4 linked regions of the Schizosaccharomyces pombe genome follow. The main gene of each other region encodes a partner of the protein of the gene in region 4 in a complex. Each region holds a gene or a part of one and is shown on either strand. Other genes may lie near its edges.

Region 1 (3,487 bases), 190 kb from region 4:
GTGGTTCAAGTTAATATAGTTGATACATTTACTATCTCAACTTATTTTTTCATTATGGCCCATTAAAAAGAATTACTGTCTATTTGATGCGGTTTGTTTCCTTTTTTTTCCTACTGATCATTTGCTACTGCAAATGAGTTAAAATGCGGATCCAGCGTACCTTTACACCTAATAATTGGGGAATTAATGATATTTTATACTCGGTTTGCTTGATTGTTTAAAAGTGTCTGATGAATTTAGAACCAATAAATATGTGTCAAAATGGTGAAGAGATATGGATAGCTTCAACATATGGTCCAAAGCACGTTTTGAAAAGTCAAAAAAAGAAGCTCGTTGCAATGCTTCAAACCAAATTTGAAAAATGTTAATGAGGCAAACGATTGCATGAATGATTTAATAAGATTAGACAGTTTAAAAAGAATTGCGTTCTTTACGAAAACGTATCATTGAACTAAAAGTGATGTATGTACAGGTTGGTTAGTTTACCTTTTTACAGTACTATTTTTCTACTGATACCATCAGCACCATAGAGGTAAATACAAAATTATGGCGTTGCTAAAGAAATAAATAATAAGGGAAACCATATTCTCATAAAAAAAAAACGGCACTAGAATTACTATAAACGATATTGGGGGGAAATATTATTAGAGTATCAAAGATATGGGCATCTCAATAATGACTTAGCAAGTGAAAAAGTTAGATTTTAGGTATATTGGTCGGTTAGGCAGAGGCGTCCAAACTTTCTTTCTTTCTAGTCTTTGTTGACGACGCTGTAAATCGCGCAAGAGAGCTCGCTCATCTCTTAAAACAACAGTAACTCGAACCCGTGGAGATCTCTCAATGGCACGACCTCCACGGCCCATAGTGATAAGTTTCTTTAAATACTTTGCCTTTCCAACCCATATTTGATCAACGTAGAGAGTACTCTCATCAAGACCAGCTTCACGAACAGCGTTTTCTCGAGCAGAAACCAAAGCAGTTGCGATGTACTTGGAAATTTTTTTATCTGACATTTTCATTTGAAGTAAAGCATGATAAAATGGCTTATGGGCAATTTGACGACACAAAGCGCCGACTTTCTTTAAAGAGGAGCGAAGCACCATTGATTGTAAGGTGTAGGAAGGATCCATGGTCTCCTGTTTTTTGAAAGAAATACGTGACCTTGGTCTCTCTTTTACACGCTCTTCCTTTTGCTGACGATTAGAATCGTCCTTCTGGTTAGCAAGCATTGAGAAAATGTCGGACCCTTTTTGCGAACCCAAATTTGCAGGATTTTGTGCAGACTCCCTTAAGTAGGATCCATTTGAAAATTCTCTAACAAAAGAAAGTAATGGAAATTTGTAATGGTACGTTTTAGAATTCAATCCTATCGTGGACGATGGAACTAAAAAGCCCTTTGATATTTTCATAAATTGATTAATGTATTTCATAATTAAATCTTAAAAATTTTTTCCCAAATATTCCTTCCACACATAGAAGTCAACGTTTTCGACTAATTTGAGCAAATGCGCTTTCTCAATGTTGTAACAAAACCAGGTAAATATTACATGCCAAGGTGGTACTAATAGGAATTGCAACCTAACGAATTGCTAACTGTACTATGTTATAGGTCAGTTAGCATTTCCCTCCTTATACAGTTATAAAAATCTTAAATGAGAGAGCTCACTATCACTATGCAAGCTACTCAGTTTGTAAATCTATTTCAAGGATGGATAAACTACGATAAGGTAACTTTACAACGATGTTAACACATGCTTACATGCTTTATGCTGGCACACTAAGCTGCACATTGCGGGTATTATCTGAACGCGTTAAATGCATGGTCACGTAAAGACAGAAAACGGCCCTTGGCAGTAAACAAACAACCCATTTGTATGTTAGACAAATAATATTAGAGACAGGTGCAGAGACTGTACATGAATTGTTATTTATGATATCTTTTAGCTTCTTTGGGGAGGACGAGATTAATATTACGACCTAGTGGGCGCGTACTGAGATATTTTAGTACAATAACCTTTTGAAATTTTTTGGATATTATCCTTTTCTTTTTTATTATGGAACAAGTACAAGATGAAATTTGGAAGTTAAGTACGCTGGACGCCTGGGAAATGGTGAACAAAAATACAGAAGTTGTGTTTGATGAAATCCCCGAGCCAGAAACTTTAAGTGAAATGAAAAGACACCCATTGTATAGCAACATCTTTAACGCCGATAATAATACTACGAGTTTCACAGAACAAATCGAGACTTCTGAAACCTCCAAAACCCAAGACTCGGAGGGGAACAAAGTTGATAAAAATTTAAAAGAAAACAAGTCAATACGTCGTAAGAGAAGCATTGACAACGATTATGAATTGAGTAATGTAAAGAGAAATGATATAACATCGGGAAAAAATAGAGAATTCGAAAACGAACACCATCCCGCAAGCGATACTTCTTCTTGGCGGGAACTACCATCAATTCCAACGTTGGAAGAATTGACGTCAAAGAGTGTTGAATTACCTTCAAACAACATATACGGAGGATACAAGTCCTTTGAAGATTACTTATCTATACACTATCGGTTGCTACGTGAGGACGCAGTTTCCCCATTACGAGAAAGTGTGCTTCGGTACAAGGTAAACCCCAATTACATTACCGGCTCTTCGTTAGCCGTATATGATCATGTGCGGATAGATGGCTATACAATATCTTCCAGTGTTATAGCTGCAAAATTATCCTTCAGTGTTCGCGCTAAGAAAAAAATAAAATGGGCTACCAGTCGTCGTCTTATCAGTGGATCTTTAGTTTTATTAAGCAATGATGATTTCCAGACTTTTCGCATTGGAACTGTCTGTGCGCGGCCCTTGAGTGGCCTTAATAAACATCCTCATGAAATAGATGTCAAATTTGAAGATATTAGTATCTCTTTAGATCCTCGAGAAGAATATGTTATGATCGAAGCTACTTCAGGCTATTGGGAAGCTTACAAGCATGTTCTTCGTTCATTACAGAGGCTTTCTGCTAGCACATTCCCGATGAAGGATTACTTGGTACACTGTAAAAGTAATCAGGAGACTGCTAAACACATACAAAATAATCCTAGGATACGCATAAATTCTATCTTAAAAAATAACTCTCAAAAAATCGTAAATGCTCTTGAGCCGTTCGGTCCTGGCGAGTATATACTAGACTCGTCACAGTTAAAAGCTTACCAGTCCATGCTGACTAAGAGACTCTCCATTATTCAAGGCCCTCCAGGGACTGGTAAAAGCTTTGTTACTCTTAAAGCCATAGAAACATTACTTGAGAATACTCACTCCCATGTTCTTCCGATTTTAGTAGCTTGCCAAACGAATCATGCAGTCGATCAAATATTGATTCGTTTATTGCATCAAGGCGCTTCAGTAATGCGACTAGGTTCAAGAACGAAGGATCCTGAGATTGCAGCGGTTACGATTTTTCAAAAAGCAAAGCACACCAAGCATTCATTTAAGGCTGCTTATAA
Region 2 (3,449 bases), on a different chromosome or scaffold from region 4:
TTCTTGACACGTTCTCGGCGGCGGAATTGTGAGGTACCATGACTACGACCAAAAATGGATGGCCTAGCCGTGGTGTCATTTGAACCAAGATAGTCTGATGCGGAATATTGGGTTGCAGGGGAAGATACAGCAGAAATATCATCAGATTGAGTAGTCAATTGCTGTATAATCGTATCGGGAGGAGTTGACCGGTATATGGACATAGGTATTGAAGGAGAAGAAATAGGAAGTAGTGCTTTTCTGGATAAGGCTAAAGAAGCAATAGATCGAATGTTAGGATGCGTTTGGACATCCAATGGGCCCATTTTAATTGGGAGATGAGTGTCGACTTTCGTAGATTCATGATAGTCGGGAGGACCATCTAGCAAATCTGGGTTATAATTAGCCAGAGAAGTATGAGATTGGTTAGGAGAAGTGAAAGGAATTTTTTGAAAAGATAGATTAGAGTCGGACTTGGCAAACCAAATTCTTGACATTTTGTATATGATGGAAGGAAGTTCTTCCTGAAACAGGGAGACCAGTTGCACCTCGATTTCTCTTTGTAAAAAGCGAGCAATAGCAGGAATAGAATCAAAGGAGGAAGATACACGCACGGATTCTAAAGGATCGTTTCGAAATACCACAGTGATACCTTTCTGCTTTGAAAACACCAAAACAACTATTCCGTTAAGCTTTAAGTCGGAAAGTCGTAAAAACATAGGCACAGTAAGCGGTGCACGAGATGCTAACATTGTATTACGAGAACTAAAACTGGGAACATTACTTTTTTGCACCGATAATGGATTGGCACGAATTTTTGTTTGCAAGACCAAAGAAGCATCACCCGAATAATGGAGATTAAAGAGGCCCTGAAAGCGGTCTGGCGCTAAGTCGCCAACCTCTAAAATTTCCAGTTGAGGAGGTTGGGGACCCAAATCCAACTCTTTTACAGTGATGTGGTCTGCAATCATCGAGTGTTTAGTGCCTTTGTTTAAAGCAGCCGTAAGCAAAGTGGTTGCTCGCTCATAGAATGACTCAGAGAACTGATCACTCCATCCCTTTACACGAAACGACATTCTGTTGATTTTCCTAAGTTATCTACATCAACTATGAAAAATGTCAAATTTTTTTGTAAGGAACCGTCTAGTATAGACTAAGTAACTAACGCTTTAGATCAATTTCTTTACAAAATTTTTATTAAATTCGGATAGGGAAACGACAACTTCCATACAGTGGCGGACAGTAAATAAACATCGATAGGCTGGCTGATGCACTAGTGCGGCATACTGAACCTTGATATAGCCAAGATAAGGATAGGGTCGATCGTACTGTATATGAACGAAGGTGTATTAGAATGCATTAAATAAATTATTACAAAATGCACAGTAGTTTCTTATGCTATACTGGTGAAATATATTTTCTTGCTATTCTGTTCATTTAGGAGGGATAAATAAAGCTTCATGAAATGAAATTCCTTAGATATTCAAATCAGAAATTCAGCCATTATTTTAGAAATGATATTAGTGGTGTTGCTTACTGTATTAATTTGCTATGTTGACAAATATCTAGGCTGAAGAACTTCGAGTACAAGAACCGATACAACTTTGCTCTTTCAGAAAAGGATATCTCTGCATAAATGAATGATATTAAATCAAAATTGTTCGTTTTAAAAAACCTATATTATGTTTGTTCGCAGTCCATGTACTACGTTAAAAAATCACTGTAAACTTTCTAGATATCATTATTTAGAGAAGAGCAGAAAGGTAAAGTATTGCAAAGTGTGTAACCAGAAACTGTAGGTAGACAGTAAACTTGATTTTGTTGCTAAAATTTTTTATAAAACTAATTGCATACTAAGTTTAACATTCTAAATCAATTGGAACAAGTATTGAAGTTTAGAGCAATTTGGGATTTGCGAATTTCCACACACCCCTTTACGTCTCCATACCGACTTTTCATTATTTCTGCAAGGATTTGCTCACCCAACTTTTTTCAATATAGCATATTAAGAATTCTGGTTTTTAAAAGACGGTATCCCCTTTTTTACGGCCTTTTACTCACTTAATGATGATTGAAATCATTCCTAAAATTTCAATTCCCAAAAATGGACTAGGTTCATTTACCCGCCCAGTAAGATTTAATCAGCTTTCTTTTTTTTTAAAAAAAAAAAAAAAAAAAAGATTGGCCTTCATTAACTTCGTATTACTAATTTTCTTTTTAGTGCCGTCGAATTGAGTTTTCGTATTGTAATTGGGGTGGAAGCTCAAAAGGCATGAAAGAATTTTTATCCACAAAGCTTGAGTCTTTGGCCAAAGAATCTCAAGATGTGGAATTTCATGTTACAAACCGCCAAGGCAAGCATCCATTAATCCGAGCTTATTACAGTACGTCCAAGACTTTTCTCTTATTATGGTGATCCTCTTAGTTTTATAAATATGAACTCCTTAAAATAGTGTTTTTTACTAATGCTACGATAATAGATACTGGTCGAGAGAAGGTCATTTGTACAAGGAAAATGTCAGCGTCTTCAATATTTCAAAAAGCAATTCTATGCAGAGATAGTGATGGTTTGAAACCTCGCCTCATAAAATATCCTGTTGAGTCAACAAACCCATCCGTTCGTGGTATTTGGAGTCCATTTTCCGATCAAGCAAAGCCCCATGAAATTTATAAGAAAAAGTCCCCTTAGATTCCTCTACAAACTACTTATTATTTCATACAAAAAAAAGAAAATTCAATTTAATCATTTTCGTTATGTTATTATGTCTAACCTTTTTGTCCGAAATACAAAACCCTATCCAAATTTATCTTCCCATAAATACTCTAGTTAACCAGGTAGTAAGTGTACAGATGTATCAAATCCCTTCTTTTTCAATATCAGGAATATGCAACGTCCCTTTTAAGCTTTTTAAAGAAACAGAACAGCCATAGCAAACATTTTGATTCTTAATACCTTCAACGGAATCCGGATGTTCAACCGTAGTTTTTTGTAACCAAGTCTCAGCATCTTCTTGCATTGGTAGATTACAGATGGTACATATGGCTTCTGTAGAAGGCACATGCAATTTTGAGCTCATTTTGACAACGGTGCTAACCAGACTTGGGAATGTATCATTCAGCGATGAGAAATATGATTCTGTAACGCCATGAATAGTATTAGGACGTGCTTCAATTAAGCTATCGCAGAAAGCTAATCCCTTAATGTTCATATACGACTTGAGGTCTGAAGACAAAACTTCACGTAGGGGACGTAGTAGGAAAGTATCGCAATTTGGAAGCTTAGAGCAGACAGAAGTGTACCATGGTATCGCAAAACCTCGACCCTCTGCCACAAGTTCAAGAACTCTTGCAGCAATTGTAGTACCGCTATCACCAAAAACAATGGTATCACAATTTGCCTTCCGGGCATAGGATACTAAAAGCTTATCCCGAATTCGGTAAAGTAAATCTTGACGCGAGGCTAACGAACT
Region 3 (3,483 bases), on a different chromosome or scaffold from region 4:
GGCAACATGATGGGCTTTATGGTTTCGGTTAAAGGGATTCCTTCAACATATAACAAAGACCTCCAAGAAGATAAAGAACCGCTTTTCGATTCTTCCAAAACTGTTTTGGATTCCATTCAAATTCTAACCGGAGTTCTTTCTACTTTAACTGTAAATCCAGAAAATATTGCTAAGAGCTTGACTGCGGACATGCTAGCGACTGATTTGGCAGAATACCTTGTGCGTAAAGGTGTTCCCTTTCGTGAAACTCATCATATTTCCGGGTCCGCTGTCCGAATGGCCGAGGAAAGAAACACTACCATTGATAAGCTAAGTGTTGAAGATTTTAAATCGCTACACCCATTATATGAAGAAGATGTTGCAGATGTTTTCAACTATGAATCCAGTGTGGAGAAGCGTTGTGCGATTGGTGGTACCGCTAAGAGTTGTGTATTAGAACAAATCCAAACCATTAAAAAGGCCTTGGAGTAGATAAGTTTACATGAAATGATATGGATATACTTACTTTTTCTATATGTTCGTTTGATCATTTAACAGGGCTTCCTCAACATAATTCCCCGAATCGAGGTTTTTTGGTGTAAAACGGGCAAATAAATAATTGTAGCCTCATAATAATATTTTAAAAACACGTAACTTAAATCTTAAATCGTAAATATTCATACTGAATGAAGTAGTACTTTTAACCTTTCGTCTTTCTCCTTTTAACATTATCATCATCGTCAGATTCCCCTAACTCGTGAATATCTGCTGTATCGTCTTTTGATAATACAAGCCCGAAACCTGCATCAACAATTTGTCCGTCTTTTCCTTTCTTTCGCTCTTCTTCTTCTTTGCGTTCCTGAACTTTGGCAAGTCGATGAATTTGAGACATAAAATTCGTAGGTTTAAGATCGCTATATTGATTTGTATCAAAGACTTTCTTATGATAAGGCGCATCCAATTCATGATGACCTTTAAGCTGAAAAGCATCCTTCGCCTTCAACTCAGCAGGCTCTTTATCATTTTCATGAAAAGGATCATATTCTCCAACCTCCTCGAAAATATCGAGCTTCAAATCAACTGGTGGAAGTGGTATATCATGCTTAACAAAGCTTTTCCCTAAGCTATTAGCGTTCACGTTTAATTTCTCGGTTCTATGTTCATTTTCTAAACGTTCATTATCATTTTTTAACTTTTTTTCCTTCTTCACAAGCCGTTTTAGGATTTCACCATTTTCATCAAGCAAATATTTAACTTTTTTTCCATTTTCCAAAATTTTACGATATTTCGGTTGTCCATTAGGATAAAGAGGTATCTTCTTTTTTTCTTCTAGAATAGAAACAGATTCAGGATGTGATGACTCCTCAGCAACTTTCTCTAAAAGCTTGTCTGCTTCTTCGTCAACTTCTTTCTCACTCGAAGAAAGCAGAGAATCATCCAAGGCTAGCTCATTAGAGCGAACTTTTTCAAGCAATTTTCGATCAAGACCACGCACGAGATGAGTTGTATTCAAATCTCCGCCTAATTCTTTAGATTTTTCTGAATATTCTTTTGTCGTAATTTGGCCATTGCGAAGTTTCTCGTGCAATTTGTGCAACTCAATATCCTGTTTGGAAGAAGGCTCTTCATAAAATTGAGTATCTTTCCCTGAATTTTTTGCATTAGAATGTCTCGTAATGTCTGACGATGTAGAATGACTTAGTTGTTTTCTTTTAATTAGGGCTCTGGGTGCTTCCAATTTGGCCGTCTTATGTTTACGACCAAAAACAAGTCGCTGACTTTTATTCGATGAGAAATTTTTTAACTGGGAGGTTTCGGCTTTTGGAGTAGCTAAAAGCTTTCTGAAATCATCTTGGTTCATTGTGACAAATTTTCAACCAAAACTTCAGTATCCTTTCAATTAATTGTTTCTTTGGAATAACTTTGTAGTAGTTGTTTATATACACTTAACAGTAAAACACAAAATAAATTGTAAATTATTGAAACAGTTTGATAACATTAGCATACCTTGACGTTCGTACACTGTGATCTCAAGCGTAGTGCGCTATTTTACTACTTCGTAATCGGCCAATGTTTTTTAAAAACAACCTATATTCTAGTTGCAGAAAACAGATATCTTTTCTTTCGAAAAGTTGATTTTCCATACAAGGGTTTGAGGAACTTGAAGCTCTTTCTAAGATTTTATGCCATCCGTATGTTAACAAGACATTGTAATCGTTTAGGACTTCAAATTGAAAATAAATTTGTGTTCAGATCATCATCATGGAATTGTGTCCGTCGAATTGGGAAAATTGCGTGTAATGAAAATAAGTACAGATATGAAATGACATCTACAGAAGAAGACATTGACAGCTTTTTCAGTCGTGTTTTTGGTGAAAAAAATTACATCTCAGACAAATCTCTAAGAGAACAAATTGTAACTCATAAATCTTATAAACATGGGCTGAAAAGATATAATGAACCTTTCGTTTCGGTTGGAAATGCAGTTATCGATGTTTGCTTACTTAATCATTATTTGGAATCAGGAAACTTTAGCACAATACCTTCATACAAGGATTTAGTAAATCTTCGTTCCCCTGCTCGACTCGCTGAAGTTGCAAAAAAATGGAATCCTGAAACTGCCACACAATGTATTTTGCCATTAAAAGGGCCTAATTCTCCATCTTCGTCTAGTTTTGAAAAGATATACAGTAGTATTGTTTCCGGACTTGTTGCTGTCGTTTACTTCCAAAAAGGCGGAGTTGAGGCTATGAATTTTTGTAAGAAAAGCATCATATCAGATTTGACAAAAGATTTCGTGAGACCTAATACCGTGCATAATCAATAAGATGTGTAGCAGCAGGATAAAATTCTTTATGCAAAGGATGCCATAATATAGTACATTTTGCCATACGCTTATTATTACTATCGATTTATTTAACGCCTCTTTCATTCAGTCAGTAGTTAATAATATATTTCATATTTATCAACATTTGTATAATATAAGCTGCATCCCAAAATCTTATTGATCGAGTTGTAAGTCATTGGCATCCATTCACAAACTACGTTTTTTAAGCTCCCTTATCTTTTTCAGCATATCTGCTAAACACTGTTTTGAAACCAAACCGTCACGCATATTCTCCTCGTATATTAGATAATGGATATTTCGTGCCCATTGGTAGAGTCTACGACCTTGTTGCAGCTGGCGTCTGACTTGTCCGATGGTAGAAGGAAAAATTGCAAAAGGGATATTTAATTGGACCAAAACTGTTTTCAACATGTTGGCTGTTTCAACACTACACTGTTGATCTATATGCTGAAGGCCTAGCCGATAATAAAGTTGTTTTTCCTTAGCCAGATTAAATCTAGAATCAGGCATATTTAAGGAAGTAAGAGGCTGTGAGGTATGGAAAGTAGGGATGGTAGATGAAGCAGGTGTTGAGTAGCTTTTGTTCTTTTCGATCATTAACTCACTTTCATCTGACAATTTTGCATCAAGATTATTGGTATTAATAACATTTCTTA
Region 4 (2,874 bases):
TAGGATGAATTATCCAAACTCATAAATCCTGATCAATAATTTTTTAGTTAGCTCACACCGACTGCTTATGTATAAGACTCAACAAGAGTGTCTCTGTTGCTTATAATAGCAGAAGGTTGAGCATCTTGAAGTTTAAATATAGATTCACAGACAGCCAATTCAGTAGCCGTAGTATCAAGTCCAGCAAACGCACACCAGTCGTTCACAACTAGACCAGCACCGATAACATCGGAACCACGGTTGATGGTACCGGCAACAAGAGGAACTTGAAGAAGTGATGACAATTCATCCTGTTCCTGAATGCTAGTACGAGGGTGAACCAAAGCACCTTGATTGCTCAATGCACAATACGAACCGGTTAAAACATTGCCTGCAACGGTTTGACGGAAAACTTCAACATCTAAGACATCAGCAATAATTTCCTCGGTTTCACGCTCAATATCAGGATGAACAAGGGCCACATAGTCGTTGCAAGCCACAATGTTTCCTAGAGCTGAAAGTCGTTCATCAACACGTTGGATTTTGACAGGATCTGGAAGAGAATTGCGGAGGTGCTGTAGTTCATTATCGGTGGTAGAAGAGGGAACTAACAGACCTTTTCTATTACCACATGTCAAACGACCAATGATTCTGGTTCCTCCAATTGTGGTATGAACAACGGGTACAACATCACCTAACTCTGCCTCGAACACGCTGTTATAAAAGTTAGTGAAAAGTTGATAAATGTAAAAAATGCCAAAAAAAATAATTTGTCGAGCTGCATCGAGTCAAGGAATAATAAAGGTAATGAACAGCAAACCGCCAGAGTTTAAGTAGTGGTTTGCATTTATGTAGCAAAGTCTCTTTTACTCAATTAAAGAGTAGTTAGGCTACATCATTCACATATGTGCTATTTATTTTTCTCATAATACGTTCGACTGGTTAAGGATTTTAAGAACCTTTAAAAAAATTTTGAATCGTTTACATTTAGAACATTAAATTTTGGCATCAAATAAACGTTAAGCTTACCTGTAGAAGTTTTCAGAGCCTCCAAGCGCTACAAGTGCGTATGAGTTTGTGAGATTAGAAAAGACACCAATCCTATAATTTGTTAATATCATGCGTCTATTAAGCAAAAAAGCTGAGTAAACTTACTCATTAGAATTCTCGAATTGAGCACGAAGTGCCATTTTGGTAAAGAAAAAGTTTTATCCCAGCCAAATTTCACATCTTAAAAATAATAATCCATTGAACATCGTTAATATGATATTAGCATTGTGAAGCAGACACGTAATACCAATTAACATAATTTTTTGTGATATATCGGTAATACTGCATTACACTAATGATTTACTAGGTTGCGTATCACTATATGTTACATGTTGGAATATTAGTAAAGATCCGTTTATTGACAGTAAACAGATAAGTAGTCGTCTATACTCATAGACACCATGTGATTACAACTACTAGAAAGATGATAATTATAGATGTTACTGTAAATCGCTCCTCTCCATTTTTTAACCATATCGGTGACTTACACTAATAGACTTCTTATAACAATAAATATAACATTGTAGTTAATATACTGCATTCCACTAAATGTGGATCGCAAAAAATTCATCGTAATTCAATGTATCGTTAAATAGATAGCAACGTAGTGAATAATAGTGAACAATAACGAGCTTGCGATATGAATTGTATTTTATCGGTTGAACTAAAAGAGTTTCAATATTTAGTGTTAAACGGACTCCACGAACTTCTAGTTTACCATAATGTCATTCTTTCGAGTTCGTTTAGAAAGGTCAGCCATCGGGCTCTCGAGGTACGTGTTTTGGAAACGAGAAAAACATGCTTGTAATTGCTAACCAATATTTTAGTAAGGTGCGCAGCGTTTTGCATTCTTTGAGGTTAACAAAAAGACACTCCGTAGTCTATTGCGATGTAAATCCAATCAATGCGGGAAGAATTTTTAAAGTAAAAGAACTCGTTAGTGTCAGTACTGTGAAACAAAAGTTAGCCGCTGGGCAAGAAAAGAAGTCTCTTGCTTCTAGTAGCGGATTTACAGTGATACATCGATACAATAACGGTTTAAAAGAATTGAATAACATGTTTGAAAGTTAAATTTTCATTCTAGTTATATTTATCGTAATAGTTCATCTAACCAACTTTGGTCTTTGTTTGGCTTTTCAGACATATAGTTCCTAGAGTCGTTTCTTGAAATATGCATGCTGGAATGATTAGAAGAAATGTAATTTTCCCCTTTATCTTCTGTAATGGAAGGCGGAGCAGACTGATCCATACTTTCAAGAAAAGAATCAATATCTTCTTCCGCTTCAGCATGGCTAATGTTTACCTTTGGCTTTTGTACATTATAACGCTTACGGAATTCTTGAATTGACTTTTCATGCTCAACGCTCTCCAACATGTCGGCTACTTCTTCACGTTGGATAGTCCGAACTTTGGACTTGGGTTTTTGGTTGCTAATTCCCAAACCAGTAAGGGGCCGTGCTTGTAGTTTTGAATACTCGAAATCTTCTTCTTCATCTTGAATTGTATCTCCATTCCCCACGGTCTTCAAACTTTCCAAACTTGGATATTCTTCCTCATTGTTATCTTCATCAAAGTATTCCCCTGCATTTTTAAATCTCCATTCGTTATTTCCCAAATTTTTTTTACGAGGTTTTACAGGTGCATCATGAATGTCATGCTTTTTTTTATACGCTAATGTCGCTTTTCTCTTCCATTTATCTTGTACTACCATATGGGACGTCGTGTCTGAAGAGGCAAGGAGGAACCTGTACCCTATAAGACAATAAGTTTTTTTACAATGTTGGTCAATTTTTTTCTTTTCTCGTAGTGGTTTATATTTTTAACGACTCGAGTATAATAAAATTT

What was found.
Region 1: mrpl33 (region 4) and mrpl22 share a complex: the UniProt entries of both Schizosaccharomyces pombe proteins name them as parts of the mitochondrial large ribosomal subunit.
Region 2: mrpl33 (region 4) and mrpl51 share a complex: the UniProt entries of both Schizosaccharomyces pombe proteins name them as parts of the mitochondrial large ribosomal subunit.
Region 3: mrpl33 (region 4) and mrpl15 share a complex: the UniProt entries of both Schizosaccharomyces pombe proteins name them as parts of the mitochondrial large ribosomal subunit.

What each region holds. Positions count from the first base shown.
Region 1 is NC_003421.2:2,027,601-2,031,087, forward strand, and holds mrpl22 (mitochondrial 54S ribosomal protein uL22m), read right to left. Parts: upstream 1,535-3,487; 5' UTR 1,431-1,534; coding exon 681-1,430; 3' UTR 574-680; downstream 1-573. Other genes in the region: helicase Hrr1, read left to right, coding at 2,055-3,487. UniProt on the Schizosaccharomyces pombe protein: Component of the mitochondrial ribosome (mitoribosome), a dedicated translation machinery responsible for the synthesis of mitochondrial genome-encoded proteins, including at least some of the essential transmembrane subunits of the mitochondrial respiratory chain.
Region 2 is NC_003423.3:1,698,039-1,701,487, forward strand, and holds mrpl51 (mitochondrial 54S ribosomal protein mL43), read left to right. Parts: upstream 1-1,894; 5' UTR 1,895-2,043; coding exon 2,044-2,109; exon of another isoform or gene 2,110-2,200; coding exon 2,201-2,363; exon of another isoform or gene 2,364-2,459; coding exon 2,460-2,668; 3' UTR 2,669-2,834; downstream 2,835-3,449. Other genes in the region: protein Mdm34, read right to left, coding at 1-1,055; cytosolic thiouridylase subunit Ctu2, read right to left, coding at 2,835-3,449. UniProt on the Schizosaccharomyces pombe protein: Component of the mitochondrial ribosome (mitoribosome), a dedicated translation machinery responsible for the synthesis of mitochondrial genome-encoded proteins, including at least some of the essential transmembrane subunits of the mitochondrial respiratory chain.
Region 3 is NC_003423.3:4,362,373-4,365,855, reverse strand, and holds mrpl15 (mitochondrial 54S ribosomal protein mL57), read left to right. Parts: upstream 1-2,064; 5' UTR 2,065-2,173; coding exon 2,174-2,806; 3' UTR 2,807-2,974; downstream 2,975-3,483. Other genes in the region: arg41 (argininosuccinate lyase), read left to right, coding at 1-471; SPOM_SPBC1539.02 (uncharacterized protein), read right to left, coding at 680-1,840; SIN component scaffold protein Sid4, read right to left, coding at 3,014-3,483. UniProt on the Schizosaccharomyces pombe protein: Component of the mitochondrial ribosome (mitoribosome), a dedicated translation machinery responsible for the synthesis of mitochondrial genome-encoded proteins, including at least some of the essential transmembrane subunits of the mitochondrial respiratory chain.
Region 4 is NC_003421.2:2,221,449-2,224,322, reverse strand, and holds mrpl33 (mitochondrial 54S ribosomal protein uL30m), read left to right. Parts: upstream 1-1,740; 5' UTR 1,741-1,751; coding exon 1,752-1,801; intron 1,802-1,856; coding exon 1,857-2,100; 3' UTR 2,101-2,119; downstream 2,120-2,874. Other genes in the region: tif6 (translation initiation factor-like ribosome biogenesis protein), read right to left, coding at 66-693, 1,009-1,080, 1,135-1,169; SPOM_SPCC1919.07 (uncharacterized protein), read right to left, coding at 2,120-2,740. UniProt on the Schizosaccharomyces pombe protein: Component of the mitochondrial ribosome (mitoribosome), a dedicated translation machinery responsible for the synthesis of mitochondrial genome-encoded proteins, including at least some of the essential transmembrane subunits of the mitochondrial respiratory chain.